Stegostoma tigrinum: one gene and its partner. The protein of the gene in region 1 interacts with the protein of each later gene in a pairwise test. Links are inferred from orthologs where the notes say so. Each region holds a gene or a part of one and is shown in the gene's direction. Other genes may lie near its edges.

What was found.
Region 2: the proteins of prpf40a (region 1) and ccnl1a interact in binary tests that used the Homo sapiens proteins (3 or more experiments, as listed by UniProt). The link is inferred for Stegostoma tigrinum from reciprocal best matches to the Homo sapiens genes PRPF40A and CCNL1.

What each region holds. Positions count from the first base shown.
Region 1 is NC_081360.1:54,268,447-54,276,756, reverse strand, and holds the start of prpf40a (pre-mRNA-processing factor 40 homolog A), read left to right. Parts: upstream 1-4,485; 5' UTR 4,486-4,587; coding exon 4,588-4,590; intron 4,591-8,310. Other genes in the region: arl6ip6 (ADP-ribosylation factor-like protein 6-interacting protein 6), read right to left, coding at 3,237-3,369, 3,463-3,516, 3,617-3,923.
Region 2 is NC_081367.1:32,459,878-32,468,853, forward strand, and holds the start of ccnl1a (cyclin-L1a), read left to right. Parts: upstream 1-5,091; 5' UTR 5,092-5,096; coding exon 5,097-5,300; intron 5,301-5,436; coding exon 5,437-5,511; intron 5,512-6,734; coding exon 6,735-6,844; intron 6,845-8,976. UniProt on the Homo sapiens protein: Involved in pre-mRNA splicing. Functions in association with cyclin-dependent kinases (CDKs). Inhibited by the CDK-specific inhibitor CDKN1A/p21. May play a role in the regulation of RNA polymerase II (pol II).

The sequences.
Region 1 (8,310 bases):
GAATAGCAGAGCAGACCGTTTTGCAAACAGGAAAGGTTTTTGAAATCTGAAGCACAAAGGGACTTGGGAATTTTATTCAGGATTCTCAAAACTAAGAGACAGTAGGAACTGCAGATGATGGAGAATCTAAGATAACAAGGTGCAGAGCTGGATGAACACAACTGAGCATCAGAGGAGCAGGAAAGCTGACATTTCAGTCCCAGACCCTTCTTCAGAAAATCTTCTTCAGAAATAGGCCCAAAATGTCAGCTTTCCTGCTCTGCTGATGCTGCACGGCCTGCTGTGTTCATCCAGCTCTGCACCTTGTTATCTCAAAACTAACATGCAGGTTCAGTTGGCAGTTAGAAGACAAATGCTATGTTGACCTTCATTTCAAAAGGGTTAAGAATAGAATAGCAAAAACATGCTGCTCAGGCTGTTTTGGAATATTTAGCAGTTTGGACCCCACATCTAAGGGGTGGATGAGCTGGCATTACAAATGATCCAGAGATCCCAGGGTGGTTGAGGACTTTGGGTCTGTAATCAATGGAGTTTAAAAAGCTAAGAGTAGGATCTGATTGAAACTTGCAGAATAATGAGGGCTCTGGATAGAGTGGGCATGGAGAAGATGGTTCTACTACTAGGAGAGACTAGTACTACAACTAGAGATTAGATGATAACCTCAGAATGAAGGGACTAAAAGGAGAAGGAATTTCTTCAACCAGAGGGTGGTTAATGTGGAAGTCATTGCCAGAGAGGGCCATGGAGGCCAAGTCATTGAGTGTCTAAGACAGATAGATAGGTTCTTGATTAGCAAGGGCATGAAAGATTAAGAAAGGAAGGCAAGAGAATGGTGTTGAGAAACATATCAAACATGATTGAACGGTGGAACAGACTGTATGGTCCAAATGGCCTAATTCTGTTCCTACATCTTATGGCCTTGAAGAGGCATAGCAAACCAATGCAGAAGAGATTTACTTATACAACAGATTTGCAAAGCTTTTCATTGGAAAATAAAGTTGGAGGAGATCTGATCGAGGCAAAACAGATATTTTGATCAGGATTATCTAATTTAATTGATTGACAAGTTAAGATCATCATAGAGTCTCTACGGTGTGGAAATAGGCTGTTCGGCCCAAAGAGTCCACACCAATCTTCTGATAGGCATCACATACAGACCCATTCCCCACCCAATATTTCTCATGGCTAACACATCTAACCTTCATATCCCTGGCCACTGTGGGGCAATTTAGCATGGTCAATCCACCTAACTTGTGCATTTTTGGATTATGGGAGGAAACCAGAGAACCGAGAAGAAAAAAATCAACACAGGAGAGAATGTGCAAACTCCACTCAGTTGCCCGAGGCTGGAATCGAACCCGGGTCCCTGACAGAAATATTAAAGAACACCAAAATAACAAACTTGGGCCAGGACAGGTGAGGGTAATAGTTTGTCTTTTTTAAAAAATACAAGCAAAGGCAAGTGGATATTTGTCTGTAGAATGCCCTTTCATACAAGATCCTGGAAGCACAACCTACCAGTGCTATTTAGGTCATATTTCCGATGAAAATGAGAGTAAGTTTGTCTTTCCAGGTGAAGCTTGTTTTTGGCTCAAGTGCAGGGCAGTGTGTGCCCTAGACACACAAAACAGTAACTTCACTTGTTATTCAACCATTTTAATTTTGGAGCTGCACACATGAACTGGAGCAAAGCAATTCTTATGAGATTTCTGGCAACAGCAAGTGGAAACCAAAAAAAAAAAAATGTCTGTGCTGTCTAAACTGCAGATTTGTAAAAAAATTCTGAGATGCCCCTGACATTTCAGGATTTAAGAAATTATTTCACTCGTGTAATATTGCTCTCTCCATTGGTATCCACCACATCTCTACTTAAATTAATGCTCTGAACCTATGACATGTTCTGCATATTACTACTGCATTGTATTCATTCATTTTAAACTGTAGTGAGGTTGATTCCTTTGCTTTAGCATCACGATCATTATTTTGTTTTAAAACAGAGCTGGTACCATCCTTACTTTATTTAAAAAACATAATTGGATGTACCCCATGCCAGAAATTGAGTAATCAAGATGAACATAAGTTTAAAAAGTTTAAATATTAACTAAATCAGATACACATTCAGCATATTAATTTTCTCTCAGAAAGCACTCATCACATTTTCTGATCTGTTCAAGTAATAGATTCAAATATATATGTAGATAGGAGGAAGAGCCATATTGGACTGAAACATTCGCTTTTTCTTTTCACAGATGCTCCCACACCCACTGGGTTTCTCCAAGGCATTTTTATTTCAAGTTTCCAACATCTGCAGCATTTTGGTTTTATTTGAGGAGCAAATTATTTTTTCCAGAGTTACCAATCAGGATACTAGCACTTGCAAATCAAATTAATATTTGACAGATTTCTTGCATCAATCATGGATCCTCATGTAGATAAGCACTGACATGGTTTACCCACAGTGCCACATTTCAAACATCCAACATTGTGAACTGCACTTCAGAAAAAAAGACTTAAAAATATTAAATATTACAAGTTATTGCAACAAACAGAAGCAAGCTTAGCTACAGAAATAAAAGGAATCAAAGGAAGTCATTCAGGAAATCCAAGATAGTTGGTCCCAGACAACTGTTCAAAGACAGGAGGAGGAGGGGGAGGAGGGGGAGGACGGGGAGGACAATAAAGTTTGGCATGTACAGCTATCCTTGGGGTCAGAATAAGTCAAGAACACAAAGATTTGTACACATAGACAAGAACTTTCAAGTCAACATTTTGGGGGAAAGTAGCCAATTGCATGCAATAAGGGTGATGTCTCAATTTGAGAGAGGATTCAACTTTGCAAATGAAAGTCCATGGGTAACTTGCAAGTAGGGGATTCAGCCCGGAAATGGTGAATTGAGGAGTGTGAAGTAAGTTGGGAATGGAACAAGACAAGGCCGAGCGTAGCCGTCTAAGACACAGCAATATATAGCCTTGATATAAACTGAGACAATGAAAAGCCGAGTTCAGGATCAAACATGATATCAACCTAGTTCAGTAAACACACGTGTACAGGAGACAAACAAACACTTAGGTCAGAGAGGGTGGGAAAACTGCAAAATTACCAGGGTTTTCAGATTACCAAGTACGTTCTGACTCTATTTATCCTCAACTGTCTCATGTGCATATTATTTACATCTGGGACATTTTACCCTTAAGAAAATATAAAGCTCCATTTGATATCAGAAACCAGAATTTACCTAAATCGAGCAGGTGACAAGGGTGTCGGTGGAAACATTCCGGGTTCGAATGAATCAAAATACGTCAATGTCCATGAGAAACTGCAACATGAGAAACCAGCCGTCAAAGCCAAAATCAACGCACTCCAAAGGCCTGAAAAAAAGAAAGTTGTTAAAAAGTGACAAGAAAAAGGGGGAGGGGCTAGTACATTTAAACCAAAGTGCCAACTTCAAAAGGATACGTTACCTAAAATACCGGTTTTAACACCATCCTCACTGTTTTCTCTATCCCAGCGCAAATCTGCAATCGTAATTCAGGTTATTTTAAACCAAAGTTCAAAGTTCAATGCTTAACAAAGTTTTAAAGCTTCCTCAAGAAATCAACTGATGAACATCAGTACCTTTGAGGATTAAGTACATAACCGCTAGAAGAAAGGCAATGAACGATATCACGATGATACAACACAGCATTGAGCACAGCCGGGCCGGCCACTTCTTACTCCGGCAGTCACTATAGGCAGTCGGCACCAGTGCCCGGTTTGGCCTCGTCCTGTGACTCGGTAGGACCACGGCCTCCTTCGCGGAATCTGTCTGTGAACGAACGCCAGGCGAATCGACGTCCGATTCACAGACTATCAGCTCCCCACCGTCTGGCCACAGGCCTTCGGGCAGAGCGGACATCCCGCTCCGCTTCAAGTACCGCGGCATCGAGCAGTAACTACTACCGCCGAAAACTACCAGTACAGAGCCACGGCTCCGTCTCCCACAGAAAGAGAACCACCACCTGAAACCTGCTTCCCGCCTCTCTCTCCAACTCTCTGTCGAACCAACCGAAAGCGTGAAAAGAGCCCACCCCCGGCCGCCTGCTTTATCCAATCAAAAGAAGAGTGTGGGGAGGGCGGGACTGGCGTTCCGCTTTGCGGCACATGATTGGTGATAATGCCGACACCGGGTGAAGGGCGGGACGAACGTCCTTTCCTCGTAGTCTACAGGTGAAAAGTGCTGTCACTCAAAGCGAGGGGCGTGGAACATATTTCCAGCACTTGATTGGTTACTTGTCCATCATTCTGCGGGAAGAGGCGGGGTGAACTGTTACATTGTCTGGCGAACAGCGCTGTCACTCGGAACGAAGGGGCGGGTCTGGATTATAGTCGTCACTTCGTTGGTTGATAACACGGTGAAGCAGCTCGAGAGGCGGGGTTAGACAGTTCTCTGCGTCTGATAGGTGAATAGCGCTGTCAATCAGTAGTGCGCGTCGGGGACGCAGATCCTGTCACCTTTGACCTTTGCCCCATTGCAGGGCTGAGCCAGTCGAATCGTGCGCCGCTGTTACTGCGGGTCGTGAGGGCCGCGCTAGAGCGGAGCCGAGAACATGGTGAGTGGGGGAACTGCAATGAACAGAGTCGCCCCTTTACTGGAGCCGAGTCCGCGATGAGGGAGAGGTTCGCCTCATCCGAGCCCTGCTCCATGAGAGGCCCGAGTGGCAGCTGCTGCCCCCGCCGGCGACCGGGCTTTCTGTCCGTGACTGGGCCGCACAGCGACCTCTGCAAGATGGGCGCGTGTTGTGAGAGGCGGCTGGATGATGGCCTGATGGTTAGCGGGCGGGGCGTTTTGCAGGCCGCGGGGGAGCCTCACCGATCGCTCGCTGTGTCCATTCCTCTTGGCGGAAAGGGGTAGCGCGGCGCTTCCGAGTTTAAAAAAACATCAAAGCGGTTCCGTGTAATTATGAATGAATGGACGAATCGGCTGGGAGGGTGAAAATCGCAGTTGGTTTACGTTGATCAGGGTTACATTTTTGTGCGGAAATTCAAAATCTGTTCCCAGCCGTTCGTCGTGCAATAAATGAAAATACACAGTTTAACAACATGGCGTACCCGGCCCTTCCCTCAAAATGAGTAAAAAGCCAGGTGATATTAGAATAATGAAAAAGGAAACTCTACTGGTCTGTTCTATCCCGATTGCTCAATGGTAAATTCACATTAAATATATTGTAAAAGTAATTTGTTCTGATTTGTTGAAAGTGCAGAAATAAACCTACTGTCAAGATGAAATGAATGAAAAGTCGAATATGGTTTTATTGGATTTGCTGATGCAAAATAATTTTCAGGCATACTTCATCTTATATTCTGTTGTACTGAACAAACATGATTGGGGCATACATTTGCATAAAACATAATATTGTACATAAATGTGCAGGTAGATACATTACATAGGCCTGAAAAATGAATGTTTATGATTATCTGTTGCCAGTCCACTTACTTTGCCTGAGCATAGACATCAACTTTTTCAGCTGCCTGGACTCAGCACTTTGGAATTATCTCCACAGGTCTTTGCTTTTTCACCTTTTCAGTGCCTTGAAGACTTCATAGAATCCCTGCAGTGTGGAAGCAGACCATGTGCTCCTGAGATGCTGCTTGGCCTGCTGTGTTCATCCAGCCTCACATTTTATTATCCTTCTCAGACTCAACCCTTTACCCCATCCCTGTAAGGCGAGGTGATGGCCTAGTGGTATTATCACTGGACTGTTAATCCAGAAACCCAGATAATGTTCTGGAGACCTGGGTTCAAATCCCACCATGGCAAATGGTGGAATTTGAATTCAATAATATCTGGAATTAAGAGTCTAATGATGACCATGAATCTATTTTCACTTGTTGGAAAAAGCCATCTGGTTCACCGATGTCCTTTTGGGAAGGAAACTTGCATCCTTACCAGGTCTGTCCCTACATGTGTCTCCAGACTCTCAGCAGTTTAGTTGACACTTAACTGCCCTCTGTGCAATTTTAGATGGGCAATTAATGCTGCCTGGTCAGAGATGCCCCCATCCCTTGTATGAACTTTTTAAAAAAAGATGCATTTCCAATGGCTAATCCATCGCAGTGTTGAAGCAGACCCCCATTTGGCCCACCAAGTCCACACTAACCTGCTGAAGAACATCCCACTCAGACCCACCCCTTTACCCCATCCCTGTACATCCTTGGCCGCTGTGGGTAATTTAGCATGGCCGATCCACCTAACCTGCAAATCTTTGGACTTGGGAGAAAATCGGAGCATTCGGGGCAACCGATACAGACACACAAAGAATGTGTGCAAACTCCACACACAGTTGTTGCCTGAGGGTGGAATTGGTCTCTGGTCTGTGAGGCAGTAGTGCTACCCACTGTGAATCACTTTGCCACTCTTGCTTTCAAAACCCAACTGTTTAATCTCTTGTCCTCATATCTTCCTCTGGCTTGATGTTCATTTTTATCTGAGCCTGCTGTGTGTTCTTAAGATTGCTTGTAATGTCCCACGTGCTACATAAAGGCAAGATGCCATAATGTTCATACCTCAGCATATTGGATAGTTATATTAATCAGCCCAATGAAACAACCAGAACTGTTAAGATATTGTCCAATATTTTGCTGCAGTGCACGGTCAATATTTCTTTTAAGTATATAAATGCAAGGCAGGCTGTGCAAATATGAAGCTCCTGAGTGCATTTATGCACTGTCTGTTTCAAGGGTACACAGAGCAGGAAGGCCATTTAGTGAACCATCCAATCAGAATAGATCTGAAATTTTCTCATTGCAACATGCAGTTCATTCTTAAATAATAATATTGTTTTTGATTTCTTGGTACAGTGGTGGAGATGATTCAACATGTTATAACAGGAAGTTATCCACATTAATGAATGACCTAAATTAATGCTTTGGGAACCCATTAGCTAGTTTGTAATTACTCAGTGACTTCTTCGTAGTAACTGTCAAAGCCCCAAAAATCTTCTGATTCTCTGCATTCGTTATTGGACACATCAAATGAATGTAAACACTTCAGTGGAAATGTTTGAAGAACAGCAATGTCGTGGCCAGCATTCATTTCTTCAACAACATCACTACAAATCTGATTGCTGTAATTTTACTGTTAATTTGACCTTGCTATGGGAAAAATGGCAGCCATATTTTTCTATATTAAAACGTGATTACATTTCTTGTTATTAATCGGCTATAAAGCACTTTGGGATGTCTTGAAGAGCAGACGGTAGCACTGTTAGCCTCAGATTTGTGCCTGCATTTCAGCACTTGCTGCATATCCCATTATAGCCTTATTAAATAGAAATCCATATCCAGTGCTCAGCTCTAATTGTTATAACAGCCAAAAATCTTTGAGGAGAGTTTCAAATTTTGTCGTCTTTGTGTAAAACCTGTCTAACGTAGCCTAAAATAGCCAAATGCCCCTGCTGCTTGGGATGGAGAATTCCAAGGATTCATAATCCTCTGGTACAGGATAAAAAATAATCCTCATCTCTGTCTTATGGGAATGAACTTACTTAGAAATCCTGACCTCCAGCTATATATTGCTCAAGAGGGGAAAACATCTTTTCAAAATCTACCCTTCAGTATAGAGTCCCTTTAGAATCTTAAATGTTTTAACGAAATCACTTATCCAGATCGCCAGCAGTTATATGCCCAAAGTAAGGACATGGGTCCTCTTGTCCATCAATCAGAAAACGTTAGGCAAGCCCTATAAGTAATTCGAAAGGCAAATGGAATATTAATGCTTCTTGCGAGGGAGTTGTGTGAAAGCAGGGAAGTCTTAATACAACAGTGCTGGTCTATGGTGAGTCCAAACTTGGAGAGCAGCAATAGTTTTGATTTCTTGCATTGGGTGTAGATATTTTCTAAACAACCTGTTTAGGGATGTTGTTACACACTTGGCGACCAGGTGAGACTTGAACCTGGGCCTCCTGGCTTAGAGATAAGGGCACTACATCTCTGCCATAAGATCCCTCTTGAAGGAGTATGTACCGACAGTGGAGGCAGTTCAGAAGTGACTTGCTAAGTTGATTTCTCGTATTGGGGCTTCCTTTATAACGAAAGACTGACCGATAACTTACTTGCCTTGCATTCCAGCCTCCTCCAGAAGGCCCATTCTGTATTAATACTTGCAATTACAGTATTTGGATTCTTAAATTGCTGCTCCTCCACAGTCCCTAGTTTATCAACTTGCAGAAAATATTCAGACTTGTTTTTCTTGGATCCACAGTTACCTTGCAATAGGTAACAATGCGTAACATTTTCATCGTTTTACCAGCTGTTTGACCACTGACCTGGCT
Region 2 (8,976 bases), on another chromosome or scaffold:
AAGAAAAAAAATCGACAGACCAATGGCAGATGAAATTCAACGGGGGCAAGCAGAGGGACACAAGAGGGGAAGACAGTACTCTAATAGCTAGAATTATTTCAGCGGTAAGGACTGGAATTATTCATTAGGAACATGCAGAACCTTAGACACAGTAGATGCTATTTGAATTGTCTGGGTAATTGAAGATCCTGACAGGCATTTACTCCGTACCTGGAACCCTCTAAGAGAGTCTATTTAGGTCAGAATTTTACATCTTCCAGCTAGGATATGTTAGAGGATCAAAACCCATCCTAACTCTTGCATAAATATTAAACTAAATGTCAAATTCACCATTTACACCCTGATTACTACCCTGAAACCTCTTACACACCCAAACCTCTGAACCACCAGCCCTCCCACCCACCCAACCACTCCTACAACTAAACACCACCAACTGACATGATCCTCTACCATACCCAGGACCTCAGCTACTGACCTGTTTCCCCCAAAACAATAACTCCCTTTTGGATCTGCCACCACATCCCCAACTCGCCAGCCTGATTCCCTGGACATGAGACCAAACCCCTTGGACCGGACACTCCCTCACCCTAGGTCTGGCATTTTAGTCCCAATACCTTTCCTTATGACACCTTCCACAACCTGCTGGCCTGATCATTCTCCAGATCCCACAAGCATCACTGGTACTCTGATGCTCTCCTCTCTCAGCCTGACACTTACGGACACCGCATCTTCCCCAACCTGCCACAGGGCCCATCATCTTCCCAAATTGCCAGCCTGTAGTTCCTAGCAAGACGACATCTCCCCACCCTTGGATTTATCGTCAAGCCCAAGACAGAAGGGTTTAATAAACAAAGTTTGCTCATGGGATGAGGGTGTCACTGGCTGGCCAGCATTTATTGGCCATCCCAAGTTGCCCTTCAGAAGGTGGTGGGTGATGTGCTGCCTTCTTGAACCACTGCAGTCCACGGACACATTAGCATGTATACAAGTTGGTTTATTAAAGTAGCAAGCACTCAGGAGTTCAGGGTTATTCCTAGGGACAGAGCAGAATTGTTCCACAATGTGGTCACTTAATCTGCATTTTGTTTCACCAGCATAAATGAGACTGCATTGTGAGCAGAGAACGCAGTAGGAGCAGCAGGAGACTACATCGTAAAGAGGTACCAGGGTAATACTGCTTTATCTGGATGTGTTTGTGGCCTTGGACAGTGAGGAAGGAGGAAGTGACTGGGCAACTGTTACAATTCTGCCTGTGTATGGAAAGGTACAATGAGGATTGAAGAAATGATGGAGGAATGGACCAGGGTGTCACACAACGAATGGTCTCTACAAAATGCCGACAGTGGAGGGGACAGCTGGCTTACAGAGTGATGCTAACAGTATGGGTGCAATTCCTTTGCTAGTTGAGGTTGCCATGAATGTGCTGCCTTGTCAACCTTGCCTGAGGTGTGGCGACCCCCAGTTCACACTCATTGCCAGTTGTCTCCCTTTAATGACAGCATCACCATCTCCTCTGGCACTATGGTGACTTTGCCATTACCTGTTTCAATATCTCCTTCTATGGCTCAGTGTTGATCTCTTTTATCTGATTATATTCCTGAAATTCAGAGTCTTTGATGCTGGTCTCAGCTGGGTTTTTGTCATCTGGCAAAAGTAATAATTCTTGGCTTAATCCATGGATTGAGAGGCTGTGTCTAAAGAGATCAGAATATTTACAGAAATTGTCAGTTGAATATTCCCAACAGAGATGCAAAACAGGTGTCACCTGGACTGCTTTCATTCCCAAACCTGCCTGTGATAGGATACTGATTGAAATTAAGATTGCTACGTGGGCCCTTAATAGGTATGGAACAGGCTTCCCATTCAATGAAAGGAAGTGACGGTGTTATGAGAGCTGGAGGACCAATGAAAGTTCTTCTAGCTTCACAGGTGCACCCAGTTGCAGTAGTAGATAAATGACGGTGAGGGAGGTTGAGTAAGGCAGTGTCCTCTCAGACACTGTGTAAAAGCATGTCACTGTCACTGTCACCGTCACGAAAGTGGAGTTGTAGGTATAGGGTGGTGATGATGTTTGGTGGTGCACTTGCCTTTATTGATCAGTGTATTGTGTACAGAAGTTTGGAGGTCATGTTGCAGCTGTGCAGGCCATTTAGGCCATTTCTGTAGTTCTGCATTCAGTTCTAGTCTCCCTGCTACAGGAAAGAATGTTGTTAAACCTGAAATGATTCAGAAAAGATTTACAAGGATGTTGCCAGGTTTGGAGCTTTTTCACTATAGGGAAGAAGCTGAATAGTCTGTGGCTATCTTCCCTGGAGCATTGCAGGCTGACGGGTGATGTTATAAAAGTTTATAAAATCATGGGGTGTGAGGGCATGGAATGGGCTGAATTCACAAGGTCTTTTCCCTGGGTGTGGGGGTCCAAACGTAGAGGGCATAGGCTGAAGGTGAGAGAGGAAAGATGTTAAAAGGGACCTAAGGGGCTACTTTTTCATGTAGAGGGTGGTTTGTGTATGCAATGGACTGCTGGAGGAAGTGGTAGAGCCTGCTACAATGACAACATAAAAGGCCTCTGGATGAGGATATGAATAGGAAGGGTTTAGAGGGATATAGGACTAGACTAATTTGGGATATCTGGTCGGCATGGGTGAGTTGAACCAAAGGATCCGTTTGTGTCGTACAACTCTGATTCTAAGCAAAGTAGGGCCTGTGTAGCTCTCTGGAGAAGCTACCCAGCCTGCTTCTGGGTTCTCATCTTGAGGCTGTTGATCTGTCCTTGAGTGCACTGACTGGAAATAGACTGGAAAAGGCCTGTTGACCATCTCAACATATTGTTGACAAAGCTCTATCCACCTCTGTAGGTTGAATTCAGCCACAGTGTTTCTTCTCCCCCCACCCCCACTGCGAAAATGGCCAATACTGGGTATATGATTAGGAAACAAGTGCAAAAAAAAGCCTAGTATTGTCACTTTCAAATGATCTACCTCTTCAGTCCTAATGTCACAACACTCTTAGTAACTATACATATCATTAATTTCCTATGGAAGCTTTTGAAAATTTTAAAATCATAGGTGGATTGGCATGTTAAATTGCCCATAGTGTTCTGGGATTTGTAGATTAGGTGGGCCATAGGGGGATGGGTCTGGGTGAGATGCTCTGAGGGTCAGTGTGGACTTGTTGGGATGAAGGGCTTGTTTCCACATTGTAGGGATTCTATGTATGAAATAGTCTATGTAATACACTGATAATTAGATACTACTTGAGGTTGCTTTTAAGAGCGAATTCCTAATTTACAGCTTTTTGGAGGAGGTTCTATGTTGTGATATGGCTTTGTTTTTGGAGAGGAGTTTGGCCTACTGCTGTTTCCGTTCTACACATTTTATTTAAGGCAAAATGGCTACAACGTCACCCCCTTGGAGTGAAGAGAAAACCTGTGAAATTAATAATGATGCTTTATTACACTTAAATTGTTATTTAAGATCAATTTCTTATTTTGCCATCCAGCTGTGTTGCAGAGGACAAAGGGGAGAATTCAAGCCCCTACAGGTGTGTAGAACCACAAAGCTGATCCCTACCAAGGGGCAAACCAATTAATTATACTAATATTTACAGCATAATTGTATTGGTCCTCCATTTTTAAGTGTACAAGGTGAGTTGGACCAGTATGTCTCATTCCCCAGCTGTGTTTTTTTTTGTTCCCCTTCTGGGTGGATTCAAACAGTCTCTCTTATGAAGAGAGAAATGATAAAACTGCACATTTCAATCTGAAAAAGTGATTGACAGCTAGTAATATAGAGATATGAAAGTATCTATGACAATGGAATAGATTAAACAAGAATATTTTTAAATTTAATTGCTGAGGTTTTACCAGTCGGTCTTCATAATTTAGATTGTTTGATCCTACCCAGAGGAAAAACCAGTAAAACTGGAAAATGATAAATACTGGTCCAACTCCTCTTGTGACAAACCAGTAGAGACAAGAAAAACATAAATTTTAATCTAATGTGATAAACTCTTTTCCCAGAGTGTTCAGTGGAAGCAGACCATTCCAATGCTGAAATATGAGAACTTTGAGATTTTAACATTGTTGAATCAAGTGTGTAATTGATTTGTTCTAGGTGTCAGGAAGCTGCTATGCTGGAAATTGGTGCCAGGTACTGGTGTGTTCTTCTTCACAGGGTACCGACTAAGCTGCAAAAGTGAGGCAGGCAGGCAAAATTTGCTTCCCCCATGGCTATACCAAACCTTGGCTTGGGGATGGACACCTTAGGCAACCCTCACATAAAAGGCCCACGGGATTGGTGTCTGATTTGACTACTGCTTCTGCGCTGGGTGTCTGAAGGAACAGATTATGTACAGATGTTGCCTGACTCCTTCAGTGTTTCCAACAGATTGGCATTCTTTTACTTGGTGAAAGCCAAATCAATCAAATAAGTACCCCACGAAGACTTGCAATGGCTCTTGCATTCTATTGGTCTCAGTTTTGATCTGAAAGTATTCATTGATAAGGATTAAATACAGGAATAAATGAATTAAAGCACTGTTAACACTGTACAGTACGTGATCTTGTTTTTAGTGACTGTGGCTGCCTTTCTGTACGTTCACCCAAAGGAACATGCAGTTTCAATGAAACAACACCTTGCCGCAGAAATAGTCTCTGGATTCCATGAAAACATCACGGTGCGCCAGCCAATAGGCAGCGACTAACTGCGTCACAATGGAGAGGGTGTGACTGACGTCAGCTCCGATGCGCGCGCCGGCAAAACAGGTTCCGGGCCTCGCTCGTTCCGCAGTGGTGAAGCGCCGAGAGACTTCCCAGAAATTACGTCACGGCATTTCCCCGTCACTGTTGCGAAACCCGGAGTGTCATCTCACGCAGTCGGAGTTTGTTAATCACGGAACAATTCGAAAGCGTGATCCCGGGATTTGGGCACCTCCCAGGTAGATTTCAAGGCGTTTCCCTTGCCGGTTTTGGTTGTGTTTGGGGCGGATCTATATTCTGAGGCGTGTTGATACAACGCGTTGTCCCGTGGGGTTAGGCGCCGCGCTCTGCGCCTGCTCCTTCCTTTTCCCCATTTTATTTTTTGTTTCAAGACAAGATGGCGGCGGGCGAGGGCATTCTGATCGGAGACAAGGTTTATTCGGCTGTCTTCCTGACTATCGACAACTCCCTCATCCCCGAGGAGAAGCTCTCACCCACACCATCCATGCAGGATGGCCTGGACCTGGAGGTGGAGACCGACCTGCGGATCCTGGGCTGTGAACTGATCCAGTCGGCCGGGATCCTGCTGCGTTTACCGCAGGTGGGTGGATCTTGGCGGGCTCCGGCTCGGGCCGCGACGCGAAGGCCGCGCCTTATCCTCGTCTCCAGTCGCTGACGCTCTGTTTTCTGTGTCCTTTCTTTCTCTTCTCTTCCCCCCCCCACCCCCCCCCCGGCAGGTGGCCATGGCGACAGCTCAGGTTCTCTTTCAGCGGTTCTTCTTCTCCAAGTCCTTCGTCAAACACAGTTTCGAGGTGAGTCCCATGGGCGGGCGGCTCGGCGTCAAGTGGGGGTGGGGGAACCTTTGGGCCGATCTGTTCCGCTTTCTGGGTGGTTTGAATTCGATCGTTTTAGCCCAGGAAATGGAGGCCGGGTGGAGTCGTTTATCCAAAATGGAAGTGATCCACGGTTTCAGGGTGGGGGTGCGGTAAATGAGGCATCTTCCCCTAACGTGGAGGTAGTGTGAGGATCGCAATTTCAACTTTTAAACGTACCCCGAAAACGTGTGGTGTTGGATTCTTGGCGTTAGATTAGGTTTGAAGTGAAATGGGTCTCACGTTTCAGATTCTGTATCTCTTGTGGTAAACGTAAGTGGCTGTTTGAGATGGAGCTAAATTTGATGGCGCTGATTTGTTTTAACTCTTCATTGCCTTGGTTACATAACCTTAGTGTTTTGTCTGATAGATTACTGTTTTTTATGCGGTTTTTCAGTTGATCTTTACATTAGTTACTGGGAATGGGTTTCACTGAGTTTAAAAGTTCCAGCACAATTTGTGACGTGGTGTTTCTGATCACATGCTTGCATGTCGCAGATTGTCTTTTGGACACCATGTATGGAATAGAACAGAAAGGGGGAATTGAGTAACAAGCGTAGATTAAATTCTTACGCCAGTGGTAACCCTCAGGGGTGTCAGACAATTTGAACGGCTGTTAGTGAACTAATGACCTCTGCTGTAATCATTGATCCTCAAACTACATTTTATTCATAAACCTCAAATGTAGGCAGTGGAAACGTTTGTCTATGTTGAAGGAGAATAATTTATTCTTCAATCTTCTGATGTAAGCACTAGTTCCAGCAGGGTTCCTTCCTCAAACTTCCTCAAACATGTAGTTTTGTGGTGTAGAGTTTAAGCAAATCTTTGTACATTGTACTGTGACTTCTAACCTTGCTTTAGCTTCACTCCTACACAATGCTACTTTTCGTTAGTGATCCTTCAAACTTTGGGTTGTCCCTCATGCTTTGGTATTAAACATCTTGTGTCATGTTTTGCTTTAAGAAAAAGGTTAATATTGCCTTAGGTTGTGAAGAGAACATAAGGTGCAAGTTGATCTCTGGATGCCTAAATATCAATTTGCCTTTGAAAGCGAGCCTAAAAGGATTGTTTTAAGTGATATGTTTTTACTGCAAAGTAATCCACTGTTTGTGGAGTTAATATTTTAGCCAATTAGCTCATAATCAAAATGATTCTTTTTACAGATTGTTGCAATGGCTTGTATCAATCTTGCATCCAAAATAGAGGAAGCACCTCGTCGTGTGAGAGATGTGATAAATGTATTTCATCATTTGCGCCAGCTAAGAGGCAAAAGGTAAGCCCTTCTCTTCAAATCCAGTGTTTCTTAATATTCAAAAAAAATTCCTTAACTTTACCAAGCTTTCAGGGTTCCTCTTAATCATTTGTATCTGATCTTCACTGTTGACCAATTGAGGAAAACAGTGCTGTTGTGAGGCATACTGATCAGCATAGTCCGTGTAACACTGCTATACTCGGTCACAGTGGCAAATTTTGGGGAAGGATGAACAGGAAGAATGTATTACTGCCCAGTTATTCCTGCTGGAATATTCTTGGGGCTGGCATAAAGTTTGTGATCAAGTAGCCTGCTAATGCTTCTACCCTAAGCTGTGGAAGACAAATGGTGACTTGTGTAGTGCAAGTGATTTCTTACATAAATCTCTACTTAGTGGGTTGTAATCCTTGAGCACATTGGAGCGAACATGAACTCAAAACAAAAATAACAATGGATTGTCTGGTGAAAGGAAATTCTGTAAGTTAGATTGGGAATAAAACATTAATTAGCGCTAAGGTAGGAAGTCATAATACATTTTTGTCATACTGCATGTTAAATTCATAGCTGTTGAACATCAGATTAAGTTAGGGAATATTTCTCCTTTGCCATAATATTCTGAAATAAGGTCGACCAAGAATGATGTATCATTGTTAATTAACTTTGTTCTGTTGTGATCCAGTATAATTGCTTTTAGTACTATATAGGAGTGTTGCTGTTGGAAGGAGACTGGGTTTCCTTCTGAAGATTGCACTCTTCTTGTATAGTATCAAGTTCTCAGTCTAAAGTATGGGCTCTGGCACTGGGACTTTGAGTTTTGTTATAACCATGTAAGTGCAAGGAGGGAGCAGACACACATTGGTTTCTTTTGTAACTGAGGCTGAAACAGCTGATATAAAGGTACCTTCACTTAGCTTGCAAAATTGCTAATTGAAGTGTGGAAGTTTGAGAATTGACCAAATAGATGAAAGGAATTTGAGTAAAACGAACTGATAATCTTTTGGGATAGTAGGAACTGCAGATGCTGGAGAATCTGAGATGACAAGGTGTAGAGCTGGATGAACACAGCAGGCCAAGCAGTATTAGAGGGGCAGGAAAGCTGACATTTCGGGCCTAGACCATTTCTGAAGAAGCAGCTCAGCCTGAAACGTCAACTTTTCTGCTCTGCTGCTTGGCCTGCTGTGTTCATCCAGCTCTACACCATGATAACATTCTGGATCTCATTGAAGTGTTCATGACTTCTGCAATATTTTGATGCTGTTTCCCACCTTGGAGGAAGGCAGCCTGGAGACTCCGACACAAGGAACACATAACTAAAAAATTGGCAGTATGAGTCTGGGTGAAGAGCGGTGTTAGACCTGAATCTATTTAAAACTGCTCATTACATTACCACTATATGAACATGTAGTAGAAAAACAAGAAATAAGTTACAAATGTTGATTTTCTAAGGTGCAAAGAGTTCTAAGAAATACTGCATTGTTGGAATTTGTATATCTGATTAATTGAAGCTAGTAACTTTTAATTCCATAGAAATGTGTAAATGGGAAAATGGAACATGTTTCTTGCATAGTTGAAATTGAAAGTGATTGGAAGTTTAAATTCTAAGCCTGTTATGTCACTGTGTATGTGTGGGGGTGGGGATGGGGGGCGCGGGATGTTGGGGAAAATGCATTCCCTTTTCACTATAATGACTAAGTGGTGTATCAAGATAAATTCTTTGTTTAGTCAAAAAAAGTGACACTGCACAATTTCACTAGCTTTAAGCAAAAAGCCTTGGTAGAAAATTTTGTCTTGAGTAACACGAATGTAAAAATTTTTCTTGGATTGCTTCTTACTGTGATCGTTTTTACTATTGTGCATGAAGTTAAAATGCAATATTGACTTTTATTCTTTTTTCCCTTGCAACCAACCTAACAGCGACCAACTACATTTACCAAAGACTGGGTGATGTGGAATGGTACGTAAAGATGAAGCTGTCGACATGGCAACAGTGAAAATAAGAAGTGCCGTTTGATCCCGATGGAGAACCAGTGCTCTTTGAACGGGTCACTGGAATCGGGGGCTTTGGAAGGTTGGGCACAGCACCATTAAAACCTAGGAACTCCTGTACTTGGTTCTCAGCTTTTTGTCTTTGCTGTCCAGATGGTACCATCACA